2 linked regions of the Oryctolagus cuniculus genome follow. The protein of the gene in region 1 interacts with the protein of each later gene in a pairwise test. Links are inferred from orthologs where the notes say so. Each region holds a gene or a part of one and is shown on either strand. Other genes may lie near its edges.

What was found. The genes of interacting proteins can lie anywhere in the genome.
Region 2: the proteins of DACH1 (region 1) and FGF12 interact in binary tests that used the Homo sapiens proteins (3 or more experiments, as listed by UniProt). The two-hybrid records come from large-scale screens. The link is inferred for Oryctolagus cuniculus from reciprocal best matches to the Homo sapiens genes DACH1 and FGF12.

Annotation. Positions count from the first base shown.
Region 1 is NC_091440.1:40,949,670-40,957,020, forward strand, and holds the start of DACH1 (dachshund homolog 1), read left to right. Parts: upstream 1-2,739; 5' UTR 2,740-2,879; coding exon 2,880-3,727; intron 3,728-7,351. UniProt on the Homo sapiens protein: Transcription factor that is involved in regulation of organogenesis. Seems to be a regulator of SIX1, SIX6 and probably SIX5.
Region 2 is NC_091435.1:87,004,818-87,012,420, reverse strand, and holds the start of FGF12 (fibroblast growth factor 12), read right to left. Parts: upstream 4,622-7,603; 5' UTR 3,339-4,621; coding exon 3,140-3,338; intron 1-3,139. UniProt on the Homo sapiens protein: Involved in nervous system development and function. Involved in the positive regulation of voltage-gated sodium channel activity. Promotes neuronal excitability by elevating the voltage dependence of neuronal sodium channel SCN8A fast inactivation.

The DNA of each region.
Region 1 (7,351 bases):
AGAGAGAGAGAGAGAGAGAAAGAGAACCTTAACATCTTTCAAGGCTTTTCTTTCCTAGATATTTTAATTTGCATTATACGCTTTTTCTAATCCTATTGTTTGATCAAAGGGGTAAGTGGTGGTTCCTTGAAATGGTTTAGAGACCTGAATCCCAGAAAGCTCCCATTCAAGTAAGGTCAAATGCCCCCAAGCCCTGCTTCTGAGTGGAGCACGTGCTCCAAGATGCAGGTTTCCCTGCAGTAGAAAATTGAGAGTTGGCGTCGAAGCAGAGTGGAATTATGGCTTAGTCTGTTAGCATTGCTTCCTGTCTGTGGCTTCTGAATGTGATGGGTATTGGGTGAGTGATAGGTTAAGGAAATGTGAGAAGTGAGAATGGTAAGGGCAGATTTGGGGCATTTAATTCCCATTTTCTTTTTTTTTTTTTCATTTGTGGGTCTAGAATTGAAAATGATGATATTTTGTCTAGTGTTTTAAAATCAAGTCAGGATTTATGGAAGCTAGGCATGCATTTCCAAAATACAGTTAGCTTTTTCTGGGCTTAATACTTTCCTCTTACCTTCTCCCATACTGATTCGGCACTTCGTTTTAAAAGGTATCACTTTCTAAGACTTGCTTAAACACTTGAAGTGTTTTCATGTGTGTGATATACATTGAATCCCCACTTTTAGTTGTGGACAGATTTGAAGGCTGAAGAAAAGTTAGAAGTTATTTCTGATGATATTAAAATACATTGGCTAACTAGGCCAAACAATTGTGCAAACATGAGCTATCCTAAGTTTGTCTATTATTCAGCAGCAATTTTCTGAGCGGTACAACTCAAGAAAGCCTCCTAATAGAACTGCTGTGCCCCAGAAAGTATAGCGTAAACTTAGACTAATTAGCCAATAGTGTCATTTTTCTCTGTAGATAGTTCCTGCACCTTTTGACACTAAACATCAAAGACTTTACAGGATTAAAATGATAAAGAGAAACGTAATCATCATTTCAACACCCAAATGGCAGAAATTTTCATTATGAAATTTCCCAACACTGTGAACCTGCCACTAACAGTTTGTTTTTAAAAATCTGTCAGATGCTCCAGCATTGCTTCACATCTCGTGAAGTCACTGAACGTGTACAGACAGGTTCGAAGCCTAACTATTTTAAGATTCCTAGAGATATAAGCAGCAAACAGACTTGACCTCTGCTCAAATCCTATCTTGGTCAAGAATTCTGGAATAAATACTTCCATGCAACAAGTTAGAAGAGGGGACAGGAAGGAAAGGAGGAAGAGAGGCAGTCTAAACAGCCTAATGTTGTTTTTAAACATAGCCACCCTCTCTACTTTTGCAAGTCAACTGGTGTGCTTTCTTTTTGTTCTCATTATTTACACAACACATTTGCACTGACAAACAGAAAAGGACTTTTCCAAAATACAGTGGTGCTTTTCTAATATGAAAAAAATATAACTACTGTGTTATTGAAACGACACATTCGCACTGAGCAACCAGCCTTAATGTCTCTTAAAGGATACCAGCGCAGTCGGTTACTGTGCGAGACAGGTGAATTAATTACAGAGTTTGGGGTTAGAAAAATCAGTGTTCTTGTTTACCACTTTCTCAGTCTTCAAAAGTGCTGCGTTTCTGAGTTCTCTGGGCAAAACAGACGTTTCTGACCCGCTTTTGGGGGCGAAAAGTGAACTTATTGTAAATCTTCTACCTCGTGGCAAGAAATTTCTCTCCACAAACCTATTAGGCAATACGGAATCCAATACAGAGCAGCCCACGATCCTGAAGCCATTTCGGACCCACTTTGTTCCCACAACTTGGAAAAAACTCTCCTGGAATGGTCACTGTCTTCGGAGAAATAAATACTTTCCACAAGGAGATCAAAACAGTCGGATGCCCAAAAAAATACGACTCTTGGCTTCCGTGCGAGTCTTTTTCTCAGCGTAATTCCTTACTAATCACGGAGCGGGGCTGGCTTGTCGCTCCGGTCTCCTCGCCCAGACGCGCGGAGACGCGTCCTAAATCCTCGAAGGGGAACTCTGAGCGCTCTGGCTCCTCGCTAAGTTGCCTGGAAGCTTTGGGGAGGGGTGGTGTGTGTGGGTGTAGGTGTGGGGGTGTGTGAGGGGGGCAGGGCGAGTTGGGGCGGACCAGAGAGGGCAAGGGCTGTGCGCTGGCCGGGCCGGGGCCGCAGAGCGCTGTCCGGCGCCCCCGGCCGCCCCTGCCCGTCCCCCCGCGGTCGCTTCCCTCTGCCCCCTCCTCCTCTCCCTCGCACGCTCCCCTCTCCCTCTCCGTCTCGCGCGCTCCGCGAGTCTCCGCTGCGAGTTCCTGGTTGGATAATTTGGGTTAATACTAGTGAGTGAGGTTTTTGCGGCTTCAAAGGGTATTTCAAGTTTCCGGAGCTCCTCCCCTCTGCACCGTGTGACAACAACAACTCGTCCAGCCGGCAGCCTGCACTTTTCAGCTCATTTTCTCTCTGTCATTCCGCTCTCAATCTTTGATCAATGTACTTGCCGGGGAGAACCCGAGTCCCTCAGTCCTCCTCCTCTTCACCTTCACCCTTCCCTCTGTGCTAGAGCGGGACCCACACCTCGGCGGCCGGCCCTCCCCGCCCCCGCCCGTCCCCCCGCGGCCGGCCTCGCTGCCGGCCCCCGGAGAGCGCTCGCCGTTCGACTCGCGGGACACTTTGGTGCGCCTCTCGGCGGAGCGCCGCTCGCGCTCGCTGCTTCCCGCGTCTCGCTCCCTCGCTCCCTCGCCTGCTCGCCCGGAGTTGCAAGGGTCGCCGCCCCCACCCCCGCTCCCGCTCCCGCTCGTCTCCCCGTCCCCTCCCGGGGCTGTGTGGCAACTTTTCCCCCCTCGCTTCTCCTCCTTCCCTTTTCCCCCGTATATGTGACCATGGCAGTGCCGGCGGCTTTGATCCCTCCGACCCAGCTGGTCCCCCCTCAGCCCCCGATCTCCACGTCTGCTTCCTCCTCTGGCACCACAACCTCCACCTCCTCGGCGACCTCGTCTCCGGCTCCGTCCATCGGACCCCCGGCGCCCTCTGGGCCAACTCTGTTCCGGCCGGAGCCCATCGCTTCGGCGGCGGCGGCGGCGGCGGCCACAGTCACCTCTACCGGCGGTGGCGGCGGCGGCGGCGGCGGCAGCGGAGGCGGCGGTGGCAGCGGCGGCGGCAACGGAGGCGGCGGCGGCGGCGGCAACTGCAACCCCAGCCTGGCAGCCGCGAGCGGCGGCGGCAGCGGCGGCGGCGGCATTGGCGCTGGCGGCGGCGGCGCCTCCAGCACCCCCATCAACGCGAGCACCGGCAGCGGCAGCAGCAGCAGTAGCAGCAGCAGCAGCAGCAGCAGCAGCAGTAGCAGCAGCAGCAGCAGCAGCGGCAGCAGCTGCGGCCCCCTCCCCGGGAAACCCGTGTACTCAACCCCGTCCCCAGTGGAAAACACCCCCCAGAATAATGAGTGCAAAATGGTGGATCTGAGGGGGGCCAAAGTGGCTTCCTTCACCGTGGAGGGCTGCGAGCTGATCTGCCTGCCCCAGGCTTTCGACCTGTTCCTGAAGCACTTGGTGGGGGGCTTGCACACGGTCTACACCAAGCTGAAGCGGTTGGAGATCACGCCGGTGGTGTGCAATGTGGAACAGGTTCGCATCCTGAGGGGACTGGGCGCCATCCAGCCCGGAGTGAACCGCTGCAAACTCATCTCCAGGAAGGACTTCGAGACCCTCTACAATGACTGCACCAATGCCAGGTAAGGAGCGGGGGTGGCCCCTGAGGCCCGCGGCCCCTTCCCACCGGCCTCCTCGCCCTTCCCTCGCTCCCTTCCGGGCGCTGGCCGCCCCGCGCGCCCGCGAGCCGCGCGCCTCAGCGAGCGCGGGCCTCTCCTCCCCTTCCTCAGGGCTCTCCGGCAGCGGCCGACCCCCGGAGAAGTTGCCTCGACCTCGCTCTTCCGGCCGATAGGTTCCTGGCTAGCCCGGGGACCGGAGCTTAGCTGCTGTGGGACCGCGGGGACCCCAACCCTGAGGGTGGAGGGGGCGGGAAGGAGCAGGACAGTGCCTTTCCAGGAGCCACAGCCCCTTTCTTGGGGCTCCGGCGTCGGGGGACCCCCTGGACGCTGCTGCCCGCGGGTGCGAGCCTAGGGACCGGTGTTGCACGGCCCTGCTCCCTGCACCCACGGGGCTGCTCCACCGCACCCAGGGGCGTCCCGGGAGCGGGAAGAGCTCGTGACCCTGACCCGCAGGGTTTGGAGAGCGGGGAGACGCGCTCCGGGTGAGGGGCCCGTTGGGAAGCCGAGGGAGTGGGCCAGCAGTGCAGCAGGGGCACTTGGAGGTCAGAAGGGGGGTCGACCTCGAGGGAGAGAGGCCCGGCGCAGTCCCGGGGGACCCGCAGGGAGTTGAGCCCCGAAGCCCAGAGGTGGAAGCCCGCCGAGGGGAGGGGTCTGTGTGTGTGTGTGTGTGCGCATGTGTGCGTGTGTCCGCGTGTGAGGGTGCGTGTGCAAAGGAAAGAAAGGAGTGCGTTTGCCCCGGGGCAGATGCGAGAGCACCCGCAGATTTCCGTCTGTAAGGAGAGGTAGCCGGGTGCTGGAGACCTGGAAGCTGACCTGGAGACCGGAGGAAGATCCCGGGGCTCGCGCACACTCTCCCTTTTCTCTCCTTCTCTAAAGTGTGTGTGCGCGCGCGCTTGTGTGTTTTCAATTCTTTGTTTTCTTTTTTTCTTAAGGTTAGTAGCTCACGCAACGAGCAGGTGCACGCTTTGCACTAGGATGCTCTGCGGGCCTGACTTGTCTGGGCTGTGGCTTCCTCAGCCCCGCGCGGAGCGCGCAGGGTGGAGGCCGCGCGGCCGGTCCCCGGCCGGGCCAGTTTTATGCAAATGAACGCGCGGTGGGGGAGGATCCACCGAGAGGGGGCGGGAGAGGGGCAGCTTGTCCGTTTCGGGGTAGAGGCGACCGTTTCACCCCCTCTCACAGTTGCGCTTCGTCCCTATCATTCGTCTCAGGGAAGAGCAGGGGGAAAAGTTCTGATTCCGAGAGCAAGCACCTAGGGAAAGTTGGGGATCTGAAACGGGCACGTGGGAGCTCGGCGCTACATTTGCGCAGAAAACTTCGGTACCCTCCCACTAAGTTTGCAGAGTGAATGAGGGAGCGGGGTGGTGTGTGCATTCCTGGCAGAGCTGGGGAACTCAGGTGGGGAGGAAGGAGGTGTAGGGCGAGACCGGGACGCCTCGTGGGTGGGAGAGCCGCTGGTTATCTCTGCCTTGGAGAGACTGCTGAACAGCGGAGAAGGGTGTAAACCGAAAAGGACTCGAGTTCTAACCCAGCAAATGTCCTCTCCTGTCCTATCCAGAAATTCTGTTCCTCGTTTATTTGCCATTCTCTCCATAGGACATCATTGTGTGCCTGTTTTTTTTTTTTGGACATTCTTTTATTTTGGGATAGATGCTGTGTGTGTGTGTGTGTGTGTGTGTGTGTGTGGTGTGCATGCGTGCGAGCGTGTCCAAGGGAATGGACAGGTGGCAGTAGAGATGGAGCGGCAGGATCAAGATCTCTCACCATCATTTACTGGATAATTGGTGTCCTTGCTCGTCCAGATGATACACCATTGGCCTCCAATCTACTGTTGAAACATTTGAATCAGGGAAGAAAAGTATCCTGGAGTTGTTAGGAAAAATGCTAGGTGAAATTTGAAGTCCGCTCAGATAACGATTGTTCGAAAACTGTCTGCCTGTTCCGCAGATTGGTGAAGTGCTATGCTACTGTCATTAAGTAGACAGCCACTCCATTCCGAATCCTCTTTGTGTGCTTCCTACAGCACACACTGCTGTAGGTAATCAATGGCCATTTTACACACACAGACACACACACACAATTGCTCAAGAAAACATTTTCCAGTAATTGTATTCTAACCTATCCATAACTTGATCCTCTTTATTTACTGAAATTTCGCCCAGATTTTGAAGTCCTTGTCATATGGCTGAAGAATATACTTTAAGAGTTAGTAACCAAAAATTTTTTAAAAGTTTCCTCCCACCTCACCAGTTTAACAATAGCACTGGCGTCTTGCAGGGCCAAGATAAGTTAAATCCAGTGGAACTCTTTATCCTTTCAAAACTATCTCCTCTCTACTATAATTGTGTTTCAACCACCTGGCCTTGATACTTTGCAATTAAATGTGTTGTTCTAAAATCCTATTTCAGGTTGTTTTTAAGCTAAATGTTGACAGTTTGTTGATATTCTAGTGAATTTTGATCGTTTATCAACTAAAAAGCTTGCTCAACCTGAAATACCCACCAGTGTTGTTGCCATTAACATGAGGAGATGTGCAGTTGCAGATGCATACCTAGGTTATCCTAACTCTGCCACGGACTAAGGAAATAGAGAATTTATAATTGAACTTTCACCAAATTATACTGTTTGTATTGTAATGCATTATTATTTTCATGCTAATTACGAGTGTTATTGTCTTACTTCTTTACTTTAAAAATGGTATTAATGTTTTCCTTCCTGACTTTACTAAAGCTAAAATTACCTTCTACATCCCAGACTTCGCTTTTAAAATCCTCTTTAACTCATCTAGATATATTGATTTCTTTCACTTTGGTGCCTTTCTTCTCTAGCTACTTAATACAATAGGGGGATAATTTGTGCATAATATAAGAGGAACTACACAAGAAGGCAAACTGTAAAATATATATATTTTATGTGTGGGGGAGAGCAAGTGTATTGGCGCGCGCGCGCACGCCGTGTGAGTGTGTGTGTGTGTGTGTGTGTGAGAGAGAGAGAGAGAGAGAAAGAGAGAGAGAGAGATTGAGAAATCAAATCTTAGCACTCTCAGCTTGTTATAGAACGTATATCATTATGTCTCTTAATAGAATTTAGATACCAGGAACTCTGAGGAACCAAAATGATGCATTCAAAAACTTGCTCAAAGTGGCTCAGTAAGTTAGTAGAAAGCTTAGAGTGAATTTAATTTGCTTGGGGCTATTGCATTAGTATGCTATCTATGAAAACTAGAATAAATGTTGACGCCATCTGTCATGACCACAAGGAGATGAAAATGAGATTATCTGCTAGATACGAAAGCTAAAAAATAAAGTTCTCAAAACATGAAAGAAAATGTAAAGAAATATATTTAAAAGTTGTCAAAGGGCAAAGTCTGACCTTGATCAGCTTCCTTCAAGTATTATTTTTAAAAAAACTAAACATTAGTTGCATCAACTTGGCTGTTGCAACAGAGGTCAGTTAATTAACTGCTAACCATTAAATAACAACGAAAACAAAGTAATTATGTACATGGTCAATTCTCAGTTTGTATGAGTCAGTTGATTGTTTGTGGATTTGGGTTAGGATTCAGTTTTCTGTGAATCCAGTTAATAAAAA
Region 2 (7,603 bases), on another chromosome or scaffold:
TATAAAATAATAATGACACAATAGTAATATCAACCCCAAATGGTAAACACTCACACATTCCTAAAATCTATTCCCATGCTTACACAGATGACATCCAGTTTTTCTTCACACCACTTTTTTCTATGTCATATTGCAAAGAGTGCAGACAGAAAACCAACAGATTCTGGTTAGAGTCTTAATTCTGCCACAGTCTCCCTGTATTTCCTCACATAAACCACAATGTTGCTAAGGCGCTAGGATTTCTCATCTGTATTAGCAAGGTTTGTGCAGCAAAACCCCAGGGTACACCACCACTTTATACTCCAGACATGGCATTCATAAACCATCCAATGTGCACGCTGACCCTAGAACTGTGTGGTATAGGTCCTACCAGTTTCCATGGTTTCATTCTGTGTTACCATGATTGTAAACACAGGATATCCACTGTCTGTAAAATTTCAACTTTATACATATCAGAACTCGGCGAGCAAAGGAAAAAAAAAAATTCAAGAGGAAATGCGACAGCCCAGAAATGAGAACTACAATCCTGGCATTCCCCATTGAGTACCTGACTTAGCCTCCCTGGTTCAGCTCGCTCTCTAGAAAGCCTGGTCAATGGAACATGTGTCTCCATGGTAGGAACCCAGAGTGGGAGCTCTTTATCAGGACAATTTACTGCATTTCACTAGTCCACACTTGTGACACAGTTTTCAGTTCCTAACCATATGACTTAGAAAGGCTCGTGGCTTCAGGAATAACTCAAATATTAAGTGAACATCAAAGTGCCTGTATAAAACAGATTCTCTTGAACAGTTTTTCCTTTTGGTATTTAGTAACTTCCTCCAAATCCAGCTGAAGAAACCTCTCTGGAATTAAGACATAGATGGTGCTATCTCTCTATAAATAGGCTCATCTCATGCTATGTGAATCGCAGTTGCTGACAGCAAATCAACAGATTAATTATTTGGCTTTGTTAGTAACGGTAATAGCATACTGCCATCTTCCCAGAAAGCTCTTCTGTACCCCACACTCCCATTCTCCTAAGCTAAGCTTCAGAACAAGCTTTAGTCTGTGGTATACAGGTACAGGCATGGTGTCTCTGCACTGGGAATGTCTTTACAGGTCGTGTGATATCTCTGCCAAATTGTTACCGTGACATTCTAGCTAAATGAAGTCACCAGCCAGGAGTCTCCCAGCCAAGATGAACACTAAATGGATGAAAAACAGAAGCAGAGAAGCAGATTAAATGAACACTGAAGGAAACAATAGACTCAGAAATTCCCTCAATTTCTCAATTTTCTACTGAGATACAAAGCAAAATGCCAGAGGAAACAGTGAATATAATTCCTTCCTTCCCAGGCCAAAGTAAGCCCTGCAAACTGCTCATCTCCAAATCAACTTCATCAAAAAGACTGGGTGAACGCATTTGATCCATTTACAAACGTAACTTGCCCATCATTCCTATTACTTTCTTTCTGGCTGAGGAAGTTGAATAGGAGCAACTCATAAACATGGTAAAATTACCCCTAAACATGGTACAATTATCCCAACCAAAGAACCAGAAAATACTCCAAGGGACTGAGGCGAAAAGTCATACTGAGTTCACAGCCTTGAAGTTCCTTGCGGGCCACACAAGCCCTGAGAGAAGTCCTCCAAATGATCCCTGTGCAGCAAAACAAGGGATTTTATTTCCCCTAACATGAAGGATTGACTGTGCAGAGACAACTATATTTTTTGCATAAATCCTACTTTTATAAAAAGTCTATATTAATTAGATGTAAAATGACAGAGACTTTACTAGCTTCCCTCTTGAAATCATACTTATTTTTGTTTACCCCTAAAATACACTACTTTATATCTTCACAGAATTAGAAAATGACCCCCACTGAGGGCTGAAAAAAGGCTACAAAAACCCAATGGAAACTGAAACAAGAAATTGGTTTCTTCACAACGCTTATTCCCAAATTTCTAAGCTGATCCAGAATCTCTCTTGCCCAGACTTCCCACTGTGCTTTCCTCAGCCCCAATGAACCTAGTCCTAGTGCCTCATTCCTGGAGCCCAGGACACCCAGCAGCAAACTGAGTAACTTAAATGCATTGACTGATCACAGAACAGACTTGCTTTCTAGACAGTGTTTCCTTCCAGGTGTCCACAGTAAATGGAAAGTATCTGCAGATTGCAAATGACCCTGCAGCCACTCCCAGAGGATCAATAGCCAGAAGAATCACAGATCTTGGCAATTCTGCCTTCATTCTTTTAGGCTGGGAATTATCACAGTGAAAGCCAAGGCATCCAATGACCCTTTGCACAAAGAGCAACCAATTTTAAGGCCACTGAAGAAAATCAGCTTCAGAAATGGCCAGGCCATCAAAATCCCTGCTAAGTCTGAAGTTCCCTTTACACCTGCTGAGGTCAAACTTCAAATACCATCTTGTTCCCTGAAAGTCTCCAAAGGAAAGGGAAGTACAGAGAAGATGGTAACAGGACAGAGGAGCTGGCAAGCAGTGGTGGCAAGAGAATGGGAATAAAGGCACGAGGTAAAAGGCAGTGAAAGATCATGTGAGAAAACAGAGGTGAGAAATTAACTGGAATGCCTGAACGATGCAGCACCATGTGTTGCTGGTGGAAGAGTTAGACAGACAATACATTTAAGTTCATCTGGAGTCTGACAAGTGTCTACCCTGCACTGTTATCAGACACATGGTCTTTTGGTCCTCAGGGCAGCACAAGTATCCTATGGATAAATGGATGGATGGATAGATGCATGATAGATGGATGGGAAAGAGAGAGGGAGAGTTGAGAGACAGACAATGAAGGAATGAATGAATGAGATGAGATGGTCAGTGTCCTCGAGGGTGCAAGCTATTTGAGATTAGGTGCCTCTGCACAGGAACTCTCTCTCACCCTGGTCAAACCACAGATTGATCAAAGCACAAAGTGTTTTTTCTTTTCTTTTCTTTTTTAAATGAATTTGGGACAAGAAACTATTAACTGGCAAAGGATGGTTCAAAGAAAGCTGTCTGGAAATGAGGGAAGAAGGGTCAGAATGCAAGAGGGATCCCCCTGGTTCCCTGCCATGGGCAGCTGTAGTCGCAGTGAGGAAGGGGGAAGAGAGGGGTGTCTGCCTCCGGGGAGCCCACTGTCCGGGCTTCTACTGACCTGGTCTCCGCCTCACTGGCCTCTTGCGGCCGCTGCAGAAGCGCACTTTGCTGAACACCCCGAGGACGTGCCTCTCGCACAGGGAGCGCCCGTCTTTGCTGGGGCTGGAGCGGCGTTTGGAGGCCGACACCCGGTCGCTGTTGGACTCCCTTGCCTGCCGCTTCTGCCGTATCAAGGAGCTTGCTATCGCAGCAGCCATAGCTGCTCAGCGCGGGCCCCAGGCCCGGACTCCACTGCGCCCTCGGGATCGCGCTCCGCCGGGGCGAGGGCAGGACCTCGGTGCCCGGGAGGGACAGGGCAGGCGCGGGGAGGCAGTGCTAATATTTGAGGAGGCCGCAGCACCGAAAACCCAGCGCCCACAAGGTTAGTCAGAGTCTGGGCAGTGGCGACAGAAGGTGTGACAATCCAGATGTAAACTTCCCCGACCGCTGGCGGCGGGGGCGGGGCGGTCCCAGGCCTTCCTGCGAAGTAGACGTTTGCACCCCAAACTTGGCGCCCCTCGGCGATCCACGTCCAAGGGGCAGTGGGGAGTTTGGTCACACTGCGTTCGGGGTAGCAAGTGGAAGGGGAAGAAGGATGTCCAAAATGACAAGCCCTGCCCCTGTTGGAGAGGCGCAAGCGTTGCAAGGTGTCCGAAGTATATTTACACATATATAGGAAAGAAACCCTTTTACATAGCAGAGTCTGGACCGAGGCGGGTAGCGTGCCCCCGGTTGGTTGAAAATACCAAAAAGTGCATAAAGCGTTCCTCTAGAAAACAAGCCACCAACCGCAGGAGAGAAGGAGAGGAAGGCAGCAATTTAACTCCCTGCGGCCCGCAGGTCTGGAGACTAGGAGGTCCGTCCCGGCGGGGTGAGGCCGTCTACCGGATGCATCGCGCCGGCTGCGGTGCTCCGGCGCCGGCCGCCCGAGCTCTGGAATCCCGAGAGGCGCCAAGTGGGAGCGGCCAGTGGGTCTGGGGAGGGGCGCGGGACGCGGGCAGCTGTGGCCGGCGGAGGAGCGCGCGCCTCGCCGCCAGTAGCACTGCAAAGGGAGCGGGCGGCGAGGAGGGGGATGGAAGGGGAGGAGGGAGATCCTCGAGGGCCAAGCAACCCTCGGGGAGAAGCGCGCGACAGGCGATCCGTGGGGTCCCAGGAGCGGGCGCTCTTTCGCTTTCCGCTTGCTTTCCGGCACGAGACGGGCACAGTTGGTGATTATTTAGGGAATCCTAAATCTGGAATGACTCAGTCGTTTAAATGAGCCCCCTCCAAGGCAGCGATGCCGAAGGTGTCCTCTCCAGCTCGGCGCCCACACGCCTTTAACTGGAGCTCCCCGCCATGGTCCGCCCGGGGCGCCGCACCAAGCAGGTCTCCGCACAGGCTCAGAGGGAGCGAAGCAGGGAGGGAGGGAGGGTGGGAAGGAGGGGGCGCCGTGGCGGGCTCGGGATCAGGTCATCGCCGCGCTGCCCGGGCCCCCAGGCTCGCGCGCCCCGGTAGTCGGCAGCTCACTAGCAGAGATCAGATGGGAATTACCCGCCCGATGCGATGCCGATCACTCAGTCCCGCGCGGCCCATCCCGGCCGAGGAAGGAAGTGACCCGCGCGCTGCGAACACCCGCGCGGCTGCTGGGGTGGGGCGGGGGCTGGCTGAGGGCGACGTCGGCTCTCGGCGGCTGCGGCTCCGGTCCGGAGCTGCCCACCATTGTCAGGTGCGCGGGGCGCAGGCTGGGCCCCTAGGCCGCCCAGGGCAACGGCGGGAGGCTGCCGAGCGCGCCACCAGGGTCCTCAGGGGCGGGCGCTGACTCTGGGGCCCCGGCCAGAAGGCAGGTGCAGGCGGCCGCCAACTCGCCCAACTTGCTACGCGGGTGGCCGCTCAGAACCGCCGGCTTACAAGGCGCCCCCCGCCGTCGCCGCCGCCGCCGCCGTCGCCTCCCCAGATCCGGGAGGGGGCGCTCAGGGCGGAGTCCCATTCATGGGCTGGGGCTCTGTGCGCCCGGAGCCGCACCGGCTCCCGGGCGCCGCCGCCGCCGCCGCCGCCGTCGCCCCACCGGCTAGTTCGGCAGGAGAGCTAGCTTCGCAGGAAACTCCAGGCGGGAGCCACAAGCTACCAAGACGGCGGGTGGGACAAAAGGTCGGCGCAGCCGGAGTTGCCCCTGCACTGCTCTCCCGCCCGCGGGAAATCGGGAGAGCGCCTAGGTGGGGCTGAGCTGGAGGCTGGGCTCCCGGAGTGCAGGGAAGCGCAGCGCATTGGGATCCGGCTCTCTTCCCTCGCGCCCTCTGCTCCCAGACTCCTTCTCCCCATTCCCTCTGGTCACCCCTCTCCCCCTTCTCTGTCTTCTGTCTCTCCCCTTTTCTCCTCTCTACGCAATCCTACGTGATTGAGGTTTGGATGAGAAATTCTCAGAGGCAGAGCAAGGGAACTGCAGCTCGGGTCTGCTCCGTCTGATCCCTCCCCGAAGAGAAAAACACCACTGGTGGGTTCAAGGCCCCTGGTGCGCGGAGAAGGAGTTAGGGAAAGAGGCAAAGCGCCTTCTCACCAATTAGCTGGAGCACGGCGAATTCTCTGTTTAGGAAGAAAGGAAGTGGTCGCTGGCCCAAGTGACAACGGCCTCTAGGGCCCTCTTATTGAGCCCCCAATTCTGCTCATTGTGTAACATGGAAAGAGTTTCCTCTCCTTACAACCCAGATTCCTACTCAGTCCCTAAAAGAAGGCTCAAGGAGCAACCCTAGCTGGGGTTAATGGAAGGGGCTAAGGGAATGACTGTGGAGTGCCACCAGGTTTCCAGGAGTTTGTGACAGCAGCTGAAACAGAGGAGTCATCCACACTCAATGCAGCCTGAGAGATTACGGACTGGCAGGGGTACTCACCTTTCATTCCAGGCAAGGTCTGGGAGTGGCCTTGGGTTAGACTTAGCTGTCTCTTCCACCCCCTCCAGATACCCGCAATCCCAACCCCCTCACAGACTCTGCTCTAGGCACTCATGGCAGTGCCAAAGCGTTAAGTGGATGGTTTCCAAGCACAGACAGGTGCATGCAAGAAAAACACAGGAAGCTACTGGGGAAGGCAGGGAAGCCAGGAACTGCAGATGCCAGCACAAGCCCTTTGGGCCTAGGATTGACTTGATTAATAAGGATTGAGGTCAGCAAGGTTATCTAAACCAAACATTAACTCTAACAGTTCTACTTTGTCTTATGATTCAGGGCCAGGGCCTTCCAGAATATCAGCTGGGCAAAATGGGCTAGCAGATACAGGCTCATGCAACAGAGGACAACAGGAAGTGCAAGACACCCTGAGAAAGTGGGGAATCCCCACTGTCAGCAGGGAGCAGTTCAGTGTGACTAAATGAGGACAGTGAACTTATCTTTGGGAGTCTAACATACACAACACGACAGGTTACAAAAATACACATACACCTCTCCTCCAACAGTGAAGCTGAATCCATTTTCAACAATCCGGAATGGGGTCAGGAAAATCGCTTATTGGTAACACTATCAATTAGGGAAATGTTCACATTCTACAAATAAAAGTTTTTTCCTTTCTTGGCTATCAGAAGATTTGTCTCATTCTTGAGAAAGGCAGGGACAGATAGTGCTGGCTAGCTTCAGGAGCTCCCTGTCTTTTGCAATTCAGTGCCCAAACAGGGGTGGGGGTGGGGGTGGGGGGCAGGGTGGGGAGGAAGGGGGTCAGCTAAGGGGAGTACCCAGAGAAACAGGCAAGATGAGGGTGTATAATGAGGCCTTGAGGAAATCATTGCTAAACTGGGAGCCTCTTTTTTATCCTCAAAATGGGGATAATCATCCCCATCTACCTCATAGAACTGAATATGCATGTGTAAGCATTTTAAAAACTGGAAAATGCCAAGTGCATAAAAGAGATGATGACAGTGTTTATTATTTTTTAAAGAAAATGTGTGAGGTTCACCTGGTGCTCAGATTCCTAAAGCTCTCTCAAAACGCAAAGCAAAAATGTCTATGGTTACTGCTCTATTATCTGAATTTTAAGTCCTCCAGGTATCCAAGTTTGAAAGCTTAACATATATTTCAACCATGCTTACACATTCACATATACATATATATATACATATATATATATGCAGTATATATTTATGCATTGTAGATAAAACTAGAAGAGAAAAGTAAACTGGCACATTTCCCAAAATTGCAGTTCTGTGCCCAGAAAAGGCCTGGAAAGAAGATGTGTGTTCTCTAATCTTTCAGTGTTGCTTTCTTTTTTTTTTTCTCTGTAACCCTAAGAGAAATTAGGATGGTGAGATATAGAAGATAACAAATACAAAGTCATAGAGTCACAGAAATGAAGGAGGTAACAAGGGAAGAGATGAAAAGGCAACTAACAGTTGCTGTCTGAAGTTGTCTTGACATGACAAAATCATGTTAGGCATTTAAAGAACAAAAACAAAAAGCAATCAATGCTAGTGTTCTGAGAGTGATATTATTTCTGTCTTTAGATCTCTATTAAAGGAGTGTGG